Linked DNA regions of Sus scrofa. The protein of the gene in region 2 interacts with the protein of the main gene of each other region in a pairwise test. Links are inferred from orthologs where the notes say so. Each region holds a gene or a part of one and is shown on either strand. Other genes may lie near its edges. The genes, in order: JUNB, ATF4 and TRIB3.

What was found.
Region 1: the proteins of ATF4 (region 2) and JUNB interact in binary tests that used the Homo sapiens proteins (3 or more experiments, as listed by UniProt). The link is inferred for Sus scrofa from reciprocal best matches to the Homo sapiens genes ATF4 and JUNB.
Region 3: the proteins of ATF4 (region 2) and TRIB3 interact in binary tests that used the Homo sapiens proteins (3 or more experiments, as listed by UniProt). The link is inferred for Sus scrofa from reciprocal best matches to the Homo sapiens genes ATF4 and TRIB3.

The regions. Positions count from the first base shown.
Region 1 is NC_010444.4:66,216,861-66,220,605, forward strand, and holds the start of JUNB (transcription factor jun-B), read right to left. Parts: upstream 2,576-3,745; 5' UTR 1-2,575. UniProt on the Homo sapiens protein: Transcription factor involved in regulating gene activity following the primary growth factor response. Binds to the DNA sequence 5'-TGA[GC]TCA-3'.
Region 2 is NC_010447.5:8,743,606-8,747,350, forward strand, and holds the start of ATF4 (cyclic AMP-dependent transcription factor ATF-4), read right to left. Parts: upstream 2,148-3,745; 5' UTR 1,249-2,147; intron 677-1,248; 5' UTR 585-676; coding exon 359-584; intron 263-358; coding exon 1-262. UniProt on the Homo sapiens protein: Transcription factor that binds the cAMP response element (CRE) (consensus: 5'-GTGACGT[AC][AG]-3') and displays two biological functions, as regulator of metabolic and redox processes under normal cellular conditions, and as master transcription factor during integrated stress response (ISR).
Region 3 is NC_010459.5:34,817,147-34,820,891, forward strand, and holds the start of TRIB3 (tribbles homolog 3), read right to left. Parts: upstream 2,447-3,745; 5' UTR 2,152-2,446; intron 1-2,151. UniProt on the Homo sapiens protein: Inactive protein kinase which acts as a regulator of the integrated stress response (ISR), a process for adaptation to various stress. Inhibits the transcriptional activity of DDIT3/CHOP and is involved in DDIT3/CHOP-dependent cell death during ER stress.

The DNA.
Region 1 (3,745 bases), on a different chromosome or scaffold from region 2:
CTGGACTGCTAGATCTTCCATGATGGGCGCCCCCTCTCGTGAGTGACCTCTAAGTTCCAGTATACTCTCTCCCCACCCCCAAAGCCCTCCCCCAGTGATCCTCGGCTTGACCGACACCGTGAAGACTCCTGGTGCCTGGACCCAGCCTGACGGCCGGGGCGCGGTCGCCCAACCCCACTCTTCCTTAGAAACAGGCTGGGGAAAGAGCGCCGCGGCAGGAAGTGTGGCAACAGCCCCGGGGGAAGGAGCCGGGCCCTGCCTCCGTCACTCGAATCCTACGGGACCATATGCCCCGCCCTGGGTCCAGCCGGGTCCTGCGCCTCGGAAGAGGAACCTGGGCTTGCGACCCCCGAGGAAGTCAGAGCGAGCGGAACACACCCAACCGCAGAGGTCCCCAGTCATCGACCCCCACCCCTGCAGTGGTTCAGCCCTAGTGTCGTAAAGGCTAGCAATCCGGGGACGGTTCCATTAGCCGGACGGAGGGGGACGCGCCGGGGAGCGGGGCCTGGTCGCCAAGGCAACAGGCCGGAGTCCGCAGGCAGGACTGGGGGCGGGGCGGCCCCCGGAGTCTCTCTCTGACGCCCATATAAGGGCACAGGAAGGGGTGGGGTCAGCACTGTCCCGGGGCCCCCGGCCAGGAGCCGGGAGCCCGAGTATCTGCCAGGTCCCAGGGCGCGCCCGGGCCCCCAGACGGCTAGTCCCGACCAGCCCCGACCGCCGCCCCCGGGGCCCCCACGGCCTCCTGGCCCAGCCCCACCCAGCCGCTCTGGGGCCGCGTCCTGCCAGGCCCTGCCCAGCCCGACCCAGCCTGGCAGGTCCGCGCCTGCCCGCGGGCCTGGGTCGGACTTCGCCCCCGGCCCGATGGGCGCAGAAGGGGCGCGCCAATGCCTCTGGGCGACCCCGGCGCCTGGGCGGGCGGGCACGACGGCCTCCTACCTCATGCTGGGTGCCCTTACTTTCTGCCAGGAGATCTGGGGTCCTTCCCCAAATACATCCCTAGGGGCTGGGGTGCTTCCTCCTTCACTCACGTGGGTGAGAGGCCCTACTCCTATTTTAGTGTGAGGGTCTCCTCACCATCCAGAATACCCAAAGGGGGATCCACACTCCCTCATCTGAGGGCTCCCTTCCCCTGCTGACAGAGAGGACCTGAAAATCCATGAGTCGAATCTGAGGGAACCTCTCCAGAGCCTCTTCCCCAAAATGGGTGAAGGTTTAGATGCTGAGGCTTTAGTTATACTTAAGGTGGGACTTCCAGGAGGTAGGCTATGAGCCACTAGAACCAGAGATGAGCCTCTCAGTATCTGTCTCCTCTCTGTCTTGAAAGAGACATGTCTATCTTTTGGAAACATGGAAGTTTCTTTAGGGTAGACTTAGGCTGAGGGAGAGGAGATAGCCAGCCTTTGTAGGGCAGACACAGCTCACCAAGTGTGGAGGAGAGAAGGAAAACGAAAGAGGCGAAAGAGAAACTGAGCTATGTGGGGGCAGGGGGAAGTCCAGCAGAGCCGGTGGTGGTGTTGGGGAGGAAGGTCCCATGAGAAGCTGGGGGTGTCCCCATCTTTGGAGGGTCCTTGTGACCTCTGGGTACCCCCTCCCCTCCTCCTTTGCTTGAACTGCTCCCCTCCCCCTCCCCAGGCTCAAGGGAGATTCCAGTGGCCGCTGAGTCTGGCAGGCATGCTGCCAGGCCTGTGTCTCCCGCCCATGCTAATAACTGCAGCTGACATCTGGCTGGGCCCTGCGGGGGCGCAACGGGGTAGTGTTGGGGGGCTGGGCAGGTCTGGTTGGAGGGCAGCATCTCAGGAGGCTAACCTGCAGGTCCCACAGGCTAGGAGTACACAGTGAGTCATCCCTGACCAGTGCTGAAGCTGGCTGTGCCAGGGGAGCCTTGGAGAGAGGCAAGACTGGCCCATGAGCGTAGAGATGGAGGGCAAGGCCTGAGCAAGGAAAAGTGGATGTATGGGGGTGGGGGTCAGGGCAGGGAGAGATGCAAGATTAGAGTCATGCAAACTCAGAGACTCTTGAGACAGGCCAACAGACTGAGAAATAATAATTATTATTTTAATAGCTAACACTTATATGGCTCTTACCATGGGCCAGGCACTCTTCTAAGTGGTTTACATGGAATAACTCATTGCCTGTTTCCAACAATCCAGCGAAATGCATGCTCTTTGTATCCCCATTTAACAGACTAAAAAACTTAGGAACAGAAAGGTAAGGAACTTTGCCCCATGTCACATAGCTATAAGCACTGGAATTGATCTAGAACTTGAGATGTCTGACTCCAGAATTTCAGCTCTTTTTGTGTGGATAATCACAACTAGAGAGGCATTTATGCAGTGCCAGCTGTTTGTCAAGTTCTGCAGGCCCTTTCAAGAAGAGTCTCCTGGAATTCCTATAGAGACTTAGCAGAAAAGAACCCGACTAGTATCCATGAGGATGTCCAGAGTTGCCCTGTGCTGTAGCGTAGGTCGCAGAAGTGGCTCGGAGCCGGCATCGCTGTGACTGTGGTGTAGGCCGGCCGGCAGTTGTAGCTCTGATTCGACCCCTAGCCTGGGAACGTCCATATGCCACACCTGGGTCCCGAAAAAGAAAGAGAAAAAAAAAAGGTCTCCTTTATCCTTTAGACAAACAGGGTTGGGCACAGGGCAGAGGGGTGCTAGTGTGTTTGGGGGCAGGCCGGCATGTTGGAGTGGGGTCGGGTCACTCTCTGCACTCTGCACGGGTGTTTGAGCAGGGGGTGGGGATGGGCCAGTGAGGGAGGGCGGGGGCCCAGCTGAGCTGGTACAGCCGGTTCCAGGCCCCTGCCAGTCTCACCCTTGTGGCCTGGGCACCACCCCCTCACGCCGTCCCACTGGCGCCAAGGCTGGCCCAGAGAGGAGAGCCCCCTCCTCCATCAGCCCTGGGTGCCCAGACTAGCAGCTGGGGACTGCCCAGGCCCTGGGTTCCAGACCAGCATCTGCCCAAGGAGTCTGTGTCCAGGCTTCCCTCATGCCCAGGGCCCGGGGGCCTAGGGGACTGGATAAGGAGGAAGTTCTCCCACCCCCACCCACAGGTCTCTCTGGGGCTTTTGGCCTTGGCAGGAGGGACTTCTCCTTCTTATAAATAGCCTGGTGACACCCCCCCACCCCCCCCCCCACACACACAGCCGGCTCCACTGGCTGGCAGGGCCCTTAATAGAAAACTGGGCTGGGGGCTGCTGGTGAGTCAGCCAGTGGGCAGGCCAGGGCGAGAACCCGCAAGTCACAGCACCCAGACTCCCTCGTCCCTGCCCCTGGGTGTGGACAGGCAGCTGGCAGGAAAAGGCTGAGAATCACGGAGGCCCTCCCCCCAGGAACCCTGGCTTGCCAGCAGCTTCCCTACCCAATCTCTGTGGTTTGGGGGGTCCCTCACCCCTCTCCTGGAGAGGAAGCTGCTCAGTTTTCTTGGAAGCAGGAAGGAGAGGAGAGTTTGTCTCCTCAGGCTGACTCAGCTGGGCACGAGGGGAGTTTCCCACAAAGCTGTTTCTGTCACCCCCCCTCCATGCTGCTGGTGAAGTCTTGGGGGGCCTGAGCCTGGCTGAGATCCTGGGTACCTCATTTTCAGGGGATGTGCTGAGAAAATAGGCCCACACCCTATGAAAGCCTGAGGCTGTTGAACTGGGCCTCCTAGGGGAAGTGACAAACAGTGTGGGGGGTGACAATGTTGGAGAGAGGAAGCACCAGGATTTCTGGGTGGGGTTAGAGATATGGGCTGGGAAGCCCAGAGCCTC
Region 2 (3,745 bases):
GGGGAAAGGGGAAGAGTTTGCAAGAACGTAAAGGGGGCAACCTGGTCAGTTGTTGGTAAACTTTCTGGGAGATGGCCAATTGGGTTCACTATCTGCGGGGGCTCCTGGAGTGGGGGGTCAAAGAGATCACATGTGTCATCCAACGTGGCCAAAAGCTCATCTGGCATGGTTTCCAGGTCATCTATACCCAACAGGGCATCGAAGTCGAACTCCTTCAGATCCATTTTCTCCACCATCCAGTCTGTCCCGGAGAAAGCATCCTCTGCAAGAGATTTAAGAGGGACGGAACCCAGAGTCAGATGCACGCGGCAGCAAGGCTTTATCACCAGACCCCACCGGCAGGGAAAAGCCCACTCACCCTTGCTGTTGTCTGAGGCACTGACCAACCCATCCACAGCCAGCCATTCGGAGGAGCCCGCCTTAGCTTTGTCGCCGGAGAACCCATGAGGTTTGAAGTGCTTGGCCACCTCCAGATATTCGTCTAAGAGCCCTAAGCTCTCTTCAGCCCCCAAACCCGACGGGTCGAAGGGGGACATCAAGTCCCCCACCAACACCTCGCTGCTCAGGAAGCTCATCTCGGCCATGTTGCGGAGTTTTGATGGAATCGAGGAATGTGCTTAATTCGAAGGTGTCTTTGTCGGTTACAGCAACGCTGCTGCTGAATGCCGTGAGAAGCCTTAACAGGAACCAGAAACCAAGCCCCATTAGAGAACAGCTGGTCTGAGCCTTTCGCCTCTCCACCCCCGGGGCAGGACGGCCAAATCCCGACCCCGTGTGGTTGTTGAGACTTGGGGGCCGCTGGCCCCGGCTGCCAACCTTCCCCGCGTCCGCCTGGCGGCGCAAGATGGACGCCCGGCCGTTCCCCGACCCGCCACCAGAGGAAGGCGCCCGGTCCTCCCGGCCGAGTCCGGCCCCGCCCACGCCCGCCCGTGACTCACGCCGCGGCCGCCGCCCTGCCCCGCCGCCATCTTGGCTGCTGCCACGTTTCGTGGAGCCCCAGGGGGAGCCCCGGCCCCCCGGCCGGGGCCGGAGGTACCGAGGACTTCGCCCCACGCCCGAACAGCGCAGCGGCCTCTCGACCCAGGGGCGCTGGCGCTTCGGCGTCACCCCATCAGCGGCCACGCGTCCCGGGCGCTCGTAAAACCGCTTCCCCCTCCGCGACGCCGCCGGACCGCGCCCCAGCATCAGACAAGAACCCTTCACCGACCCGGGGGGACACGGCCCAGAGCGTCGGGCCCCGGTACTTACGCCATGGCTTAAGCCGCTGGGGGGTGCCGCTGCAGAGCCTGGTGCTGCTGCCGCCGCTGCAAAGGCCAATGCTGCCGCAGGCACTGCTGCCTCTAATACGCCATGGCGGCCGCGGACCCTGCGGGAGCGGAGGAAGAAAAGCGCCCACTCGCAGAAAAGGACTACATCTACAGCGGAGAGGAAAAGAAATGGCGGCGGTTCGCCGAGCGCGGGTCCTTTATAGACTCTGCCTCTGTGGGACGCATCACAGAGAATATTCTTCCGCCTAGGTCACGTGACCAGCGCCTCCCACCCACGCGCTTTCATTTAACCGACGCCCCTACCATTTCCAGTCTCTGACTTTTATGTCGAGGGCGAAACTGTGAGGACCAAATGAGTTACTTTTATTTACAGCCTCAAAAAAGGGCGCACTACTTTACAAGGCTTTTGAGATCTAAGGATCACCACCGTCCGCTGCCGGGATGCGCGGAAGGATCTTGCACAGCTACTTCCGGTGCTAGCCCGAGAGGCGGAGACGAGTCTTTCACCCCAAGAAGGGCTTTTATTGTGAAGTACGAGGTCTCCTGGTTATCGCGCGAGCTACTGGCGGAGAGCGCGCGTCGAAATGATTGGTTAGGCATGGTGAGTCATATATACATCGAGTTTCTATTGGCTCAGGCTCCGAGGCGGGCGGGTTGTTCAGCGAGGGAGCCCCTGATCTGCGCGGGAAGGTGGGTGAGGTTCCCGCCGCCGGGCCCCGGCGTCCTGCTCGCCGTAGCGCCGCTCTGCAAAGGCTCCCTCAGCCCCGCCCACCCAGCTGGCCTTGATTGCCCCGGGCAGCCCTGGCCCAGATCCAAATAGTGGCGTTAGGTCCGAATCCTCGTGGTCCTTTCCTGCCGCCCTTGGAGAAGCTCCGAACTAGGGACCGGGTTTAGGCCCGAATGTGAAACTAGTCAAGAGTAAATGTTATTTCGTCTGTTTTCACTTGCACACACTTGCAGAATACTGAGGACGTGTGAACCCTTCAGTAACTGGAAGGGGAGACTGATGACCTCAGCTGAGATCCACCTACCATCAAAGGCCTGCTCTGCGTCCTGACTCAACTCTGTAGAGGCGAGTCGAGTGGAGGAAATCCATAATCCTGTGGTCTAAACAATTGTATTTTTACATATCCATTCTGCTAAAATACAAGTTTCCTTTTATGTTAAAGAATGAAACCTATGACAGGGGAACTTCTTTCAGTTTATGTAGTTTCACTTCCCCTAAAAATGAGGTATTTTATTTAGCTGCTCTTTCTCACTCTAGGGTAGTTTCAATTATTTACCAACTCTGTAACTCCGCGGCATAACCACTTCCCAGCAAGTCCTACTGCCTGGGTGCTTGATCAGACCTGCCCACTTAGGGGAATTTGTGTGTTTGGAGGCCACAGTCCAGGTTAGGGCCAGTAACTTGCCCTCTCTACTGGGGAACTGTCAAGAGCTAGGAGAAAGCTCTTTCACCATCTTCCAGTCCTCCAATCAGGCCCTGTAGGGAAACCTTGAGTTTCCACTCCCCTTCATTTCAGTGGGCCCTACAAATATTATTTCTATGAGGACAGTGAGGTCAAAAATTGGTCAGGCACTTCCTACATAACAACTAACCATTCATTGATTTGAGTCAGTCTAGCCCAACCATTTCTTTACAGTGGTAAGCTGATGACTAAAGGCATGACATGTCTTGCCTGGTGTGGGCAGTATGGGGTAGGAGTTATGACAGATTTAAGGGCCAATTCCAAAAAATCTTGGCTTTCCCATTTATTAGTGGAGACATTCTGGTTAAGTGACTTACCCCCACTGAGTCTTCGTTTCCTGATCTGTAAAACGAGGCTAATGATGGGTATCCTCATCCTTAGAATGAAGTTAAGATAATATATTCACAGCACTGAGCCGTGCGCCTGGTACCTGGTAAGTGCTGGATAAATGGTTGCCATTACTCCTGTGACTAGAACGCAGGTCTTCTAACCCACCTCCCATCCCCATCATATCCTGCTCCCTCAGAGGACTGTTATTTACTGAGATGAAATCAACAACTATAAACAGCTGGTCTAGGAAAGCATACTGGATACTAGGTATGGTTTTTCTTTCCCCTTGGGGAATCTCAATTCTCTGGAAACATGTACAAGGCATCTGGTCTTTTGGTGCAAAGACAGTAAGAATCCCGAGCCACTACCCCCGAGCCACTACCCAAGTCTTCCAAAGGTGTCATTAAGGAGCCACGGGGCATGTCCTCCTCTCTGCTGTATGGGAGACTTGTCAGTGCCTCTTGATGGATGTCCATGCAGATGCTTAAGAAGTAAAGTAACACTGCCCCAATTGGACACCGTAGGAGTGGAATAACCCCATCCGTTCTATTATGGAGACCCCAAGCAAGCACTCTGATGCACCAGTACCACTCACGTAGGAAACTATTTCCCACCACACACACGAGTCAAAGCTGTTGGAAAGGAGACGTTTCTTTTCTTTCCAGGTTGTGGAAGGGC
Region 3 (3,745 bases), on a different chromosome or scaffold from region 2:
CTTTACAGGGAGTTTCCATTGTGGTTCAGTGGGTTAAGAACCCAGCTAGTATTCATGAGGAGGGGGGTTCGATCCCTGGGTTTGATCGATGGCCTTGATCAGTGGGTTGAGGATCCGGTGCTGCCACAAGCCTCGGCATAGGTTGCAGACATGGCTTGGATCTAGCGTTGCTGTGGCTGTGGCTTAGAGCAGCAGCTGCAGCTTCTATTTGAATCTTAGCCTGGGAACTTCCACATGCTGCAGGTGCAGCCCTAAAAAGACAAAAAAGAAAAAAAGAGACGTTACACTATGTCTGTTGAGTACCGTGTCTATCCCTCCTATGAAAGGGGGAGAAGGATGGAAGGTGGAGAGGAGGAGTATGGATGACAAAGGATGATGAATGAAGTGTACACTGAATGTACATATGAATGTTCTGGAATGAATATATGCACTGTCAAGTGAATAAAGCAAGCTGCTGAACGATATACCTGAGATCTCTTTTACATATAAAAACCCACCATCATATAAGAGGATGTATCTCCATATTTGTATATATAGGTGTAGAAATGCACAGGAAAAGGTCTGGAAGGACTCAGACTAAATTGGCCACAGTAGCTTCTGGCCTCCTGGGAGATCCCAGGAGAGGAAGGGATTTGGTAGGGAGGCAAGGGAATTTTGAATTTCAGTATTATTATTATTGTTATTATTAATAGCTGAATATGCTGACGTGCCACCCTTGGGAGTCTCAGAAATCTCTCCAGGGATAAGGCTAGGATGACACTTCTCACTGCAATGGCTCTTTGGAAAGTAAAATGATTCCTGGCTGTGTGGATGCTTTGTGCCCTGCAACCCACCCCTACGCACCCCACCTCCTCCTGTGGCCACCTCAGCACCCTAGGCTGCTTTGGATTTATCCGGGGCTCAGAGTCTGGTACCACCTGGGAGAAGCTCCACTGGACAGGTGGGGTAACTGAGTCTATAGATAAGCAAGGGAAATTTGCAGGTCATGAGGCAAGACTAGAATCTCTGCAGCAGGATGCAGGCATCCGCTAGTATCAATCTCTTGCTGTTCTCTGACGCTCTCTGGAGAACAAGGGCGGGTCATACCAACCGCATATAACTCACATGACTCAGGGCAGACAGGTGTACACACGCCCCTCAGAAACACTGTCCAATCCAGCCAGTCAAGGCACACATGCAGGTCAGAGAGGGGTGCACACATCATTAAGTGACACACATCTCGCCCTCCAAGGGCAGATGTGCATACACAAGCCAGCAAAGCTCTCATAACTATGTACTCACGACTGCGGGACAGTTACCAAGGCCACACGCTTCGTCTGACCCTCCCTCCCCGCCACGACCCCAGCGCGAAAGAAGTAGGTGGCCTCGCCCCGGCCTGGGCAGCTGGGCTAGTCTCGTGGGAGCGGAAGCGGCGAGCGTCCCGGGGCAGAAGGTTCAGCGGGAGCCGAGGGTCGGCGGCGGGGCAGGGACCGGGCAAAGGGAAGGCGACTGGGCCCCGGGTCTGGGGTAAGAGGCCTCGCTCCACCCTCACCCCAGAATCCAGGTACAACACACACAGTCGGCAGGAACGGAATACGCACGCACCGTACAGCGTGTGAACCAGGGCCTCCAGGCGGAGCGTACCTGCGAGCCACGCCCGCACGCCGCGCGCCGGCAGCCCTTGACCCTGCGCCTGCCCCGCTGGCGAGCACCCCGGCCGGTCTCCGCACAACTCCGCCAGCACCTGCCGCGGGCGCCCAGGAGACACGGCCTCATCAGGACCCCACTGGCCCACGCGGACTCAGATCCGCACCGGCACACCCCACAGTTACAGAGGCCCCCTGGCCGCCAGGGACCCCACAGACTTCCCCGCACCCAACCACACAGCTCCCCAGCCCGCCCCACACTCCAGCAAACGCAGACACTACACACCCCTGCGGGGGCGGCGTGGGGCCAACACAGTCCCCACTCCCTCCGTCCCGGCGACACGCTGCCACGCCCCGCTGGGGCGCACCCTCGCGCCCGCCCGCGTCGGCTGCACTCGGCGACCCTACGCCCCGCGGGGCCGCGTCACCGGGTCCGAGCGGGAACACTCAGCCCAGATCGCCCCCCGGACCGGACGGAGGCTCCGGGTCGCCCCTCTATCCACCACCTCCCGCTCCCGCCAGGTACCTTGCCCTCGCCAGCGGCGGGGTCCTGGTGCCGGCCAAGCTCAAGAGTCGCCAGGCACCCACGATGGCCCAGGCCGCTCGGCCCCGGCTGAGGTCGGCTCCGGATGGGGCTCTGGCCCGGGTCCCCAGCAGCCGGAATGTGTGCCGAGTCGCCGCCGCTTCCGCCGCGAGTGTCTCGGGAGCGCAGGGAGCCGGGCTTCAACTCCGGCCCGGGTGATGTAAACCTGAGCTAATCAGCCGCCGCCTGATGCCCTCCGGCGGGGGATTGCACCATCCCCTGCGCCCCGCCCCCTGAGGTCCCCGCTAGAGCGCGCCCCGCCCCGCTCCTCGTGTGTGGTCCGCAGGCGAGCCACCGACTTTCCCTTTCACCTTGGAAACAGCATTTTGCCTTTCTGGGCCTCAGTTTTCCCACCTGTGAAACGGAAGAACATCCTACCTTCTCAGGATGGGCCTGAAGAGAAAAAGAACAGTGATAGTTTCCTGCGTGCTTCCCGGGTTATAAAGCACTTTCCCGCCATTGTTTCATTGCAGTATAGGAGAACCTTGGGCGGGCAGAAAGCTCCATTCTCCCCATTCTACTAAGGAGCAGCCTGAGGCCCAGCTACAGGGTGGGGGGGTAGCTCTGCAAAGGCCGTGGATTTAGGAGCTCAATAGAACAATTGTTGTGCCCCGGGGAGAACTAGGGTGGGGTAGCCTTCACAGCATGCATATAATAGAGGCACTTCAGCCGTGTAGTTAAGAAAAGTGGGCCAAAGCGTGCCCACTGTGTTACCTGAGGAAATAGATTGAATAAATTAACACATGTTAAACGCTTAGAGCTGTGCCGCCCGGCACCTGGTAGATACTAAAGGAGTGGAAACTGGAGGCTCAAGGAGAGCCGGCACCTATAACAGGAATTGCACGCTTGGCCTGGGAAGCCCTGGTGCCACTAGCTGTTTGGAGAAGCATCCCTGTGCAGCCCCAAGGGTCCAATTCCCTTTAGGCCTTGATGTCTGAGTTCACCAGTGTCAAAAAATAACTCCACCAGACAGAGGTTAAGGGAAGGTGGGTGGAGTTAGCTTTGTTTCCCCGGTTGCAGAACCTTAGGGATCAGCTCCTCTGAGTGTGTGTGTGTGTGTGTGTCAGAGCCCTAGAGCATACCAGGAGGTTCTGGGATTTGATTTAACCCTGGAGACTCCCCCAGCCTGGAGCGATGAATGAACTCATTTTCTACACCAGGAGCTAGACTGACTGGGCTCTCCTACAGCCATAAGAGGCAAAGAAAGGCAGGATGTTGTCTCTCCAGGGCCTCACTGAAGCAAGACTGTGCTGGGTTGACTTATGCATTCTTAACTGCTTCATGTTGTGTCAGACCCTGTTCTAATTGCTGGATGACAGTGGTGACAAGCTTGACTCACCCCCATCCTCAGGGATCTTATAAATCAGTGGGGAGACAGAGCACTCTCAAGAAAATAAAATCAGTAGGCCCAGATAATTTCAAATAGATGATGTGTCATATATTTTCTTGAATAAATAGCATAGATTTATTCTCTATAAGATATGGCTGGGAAGTAGCTATTTTCAGCAGGGCTTATCAGGAAGGTGATGTTTAAACT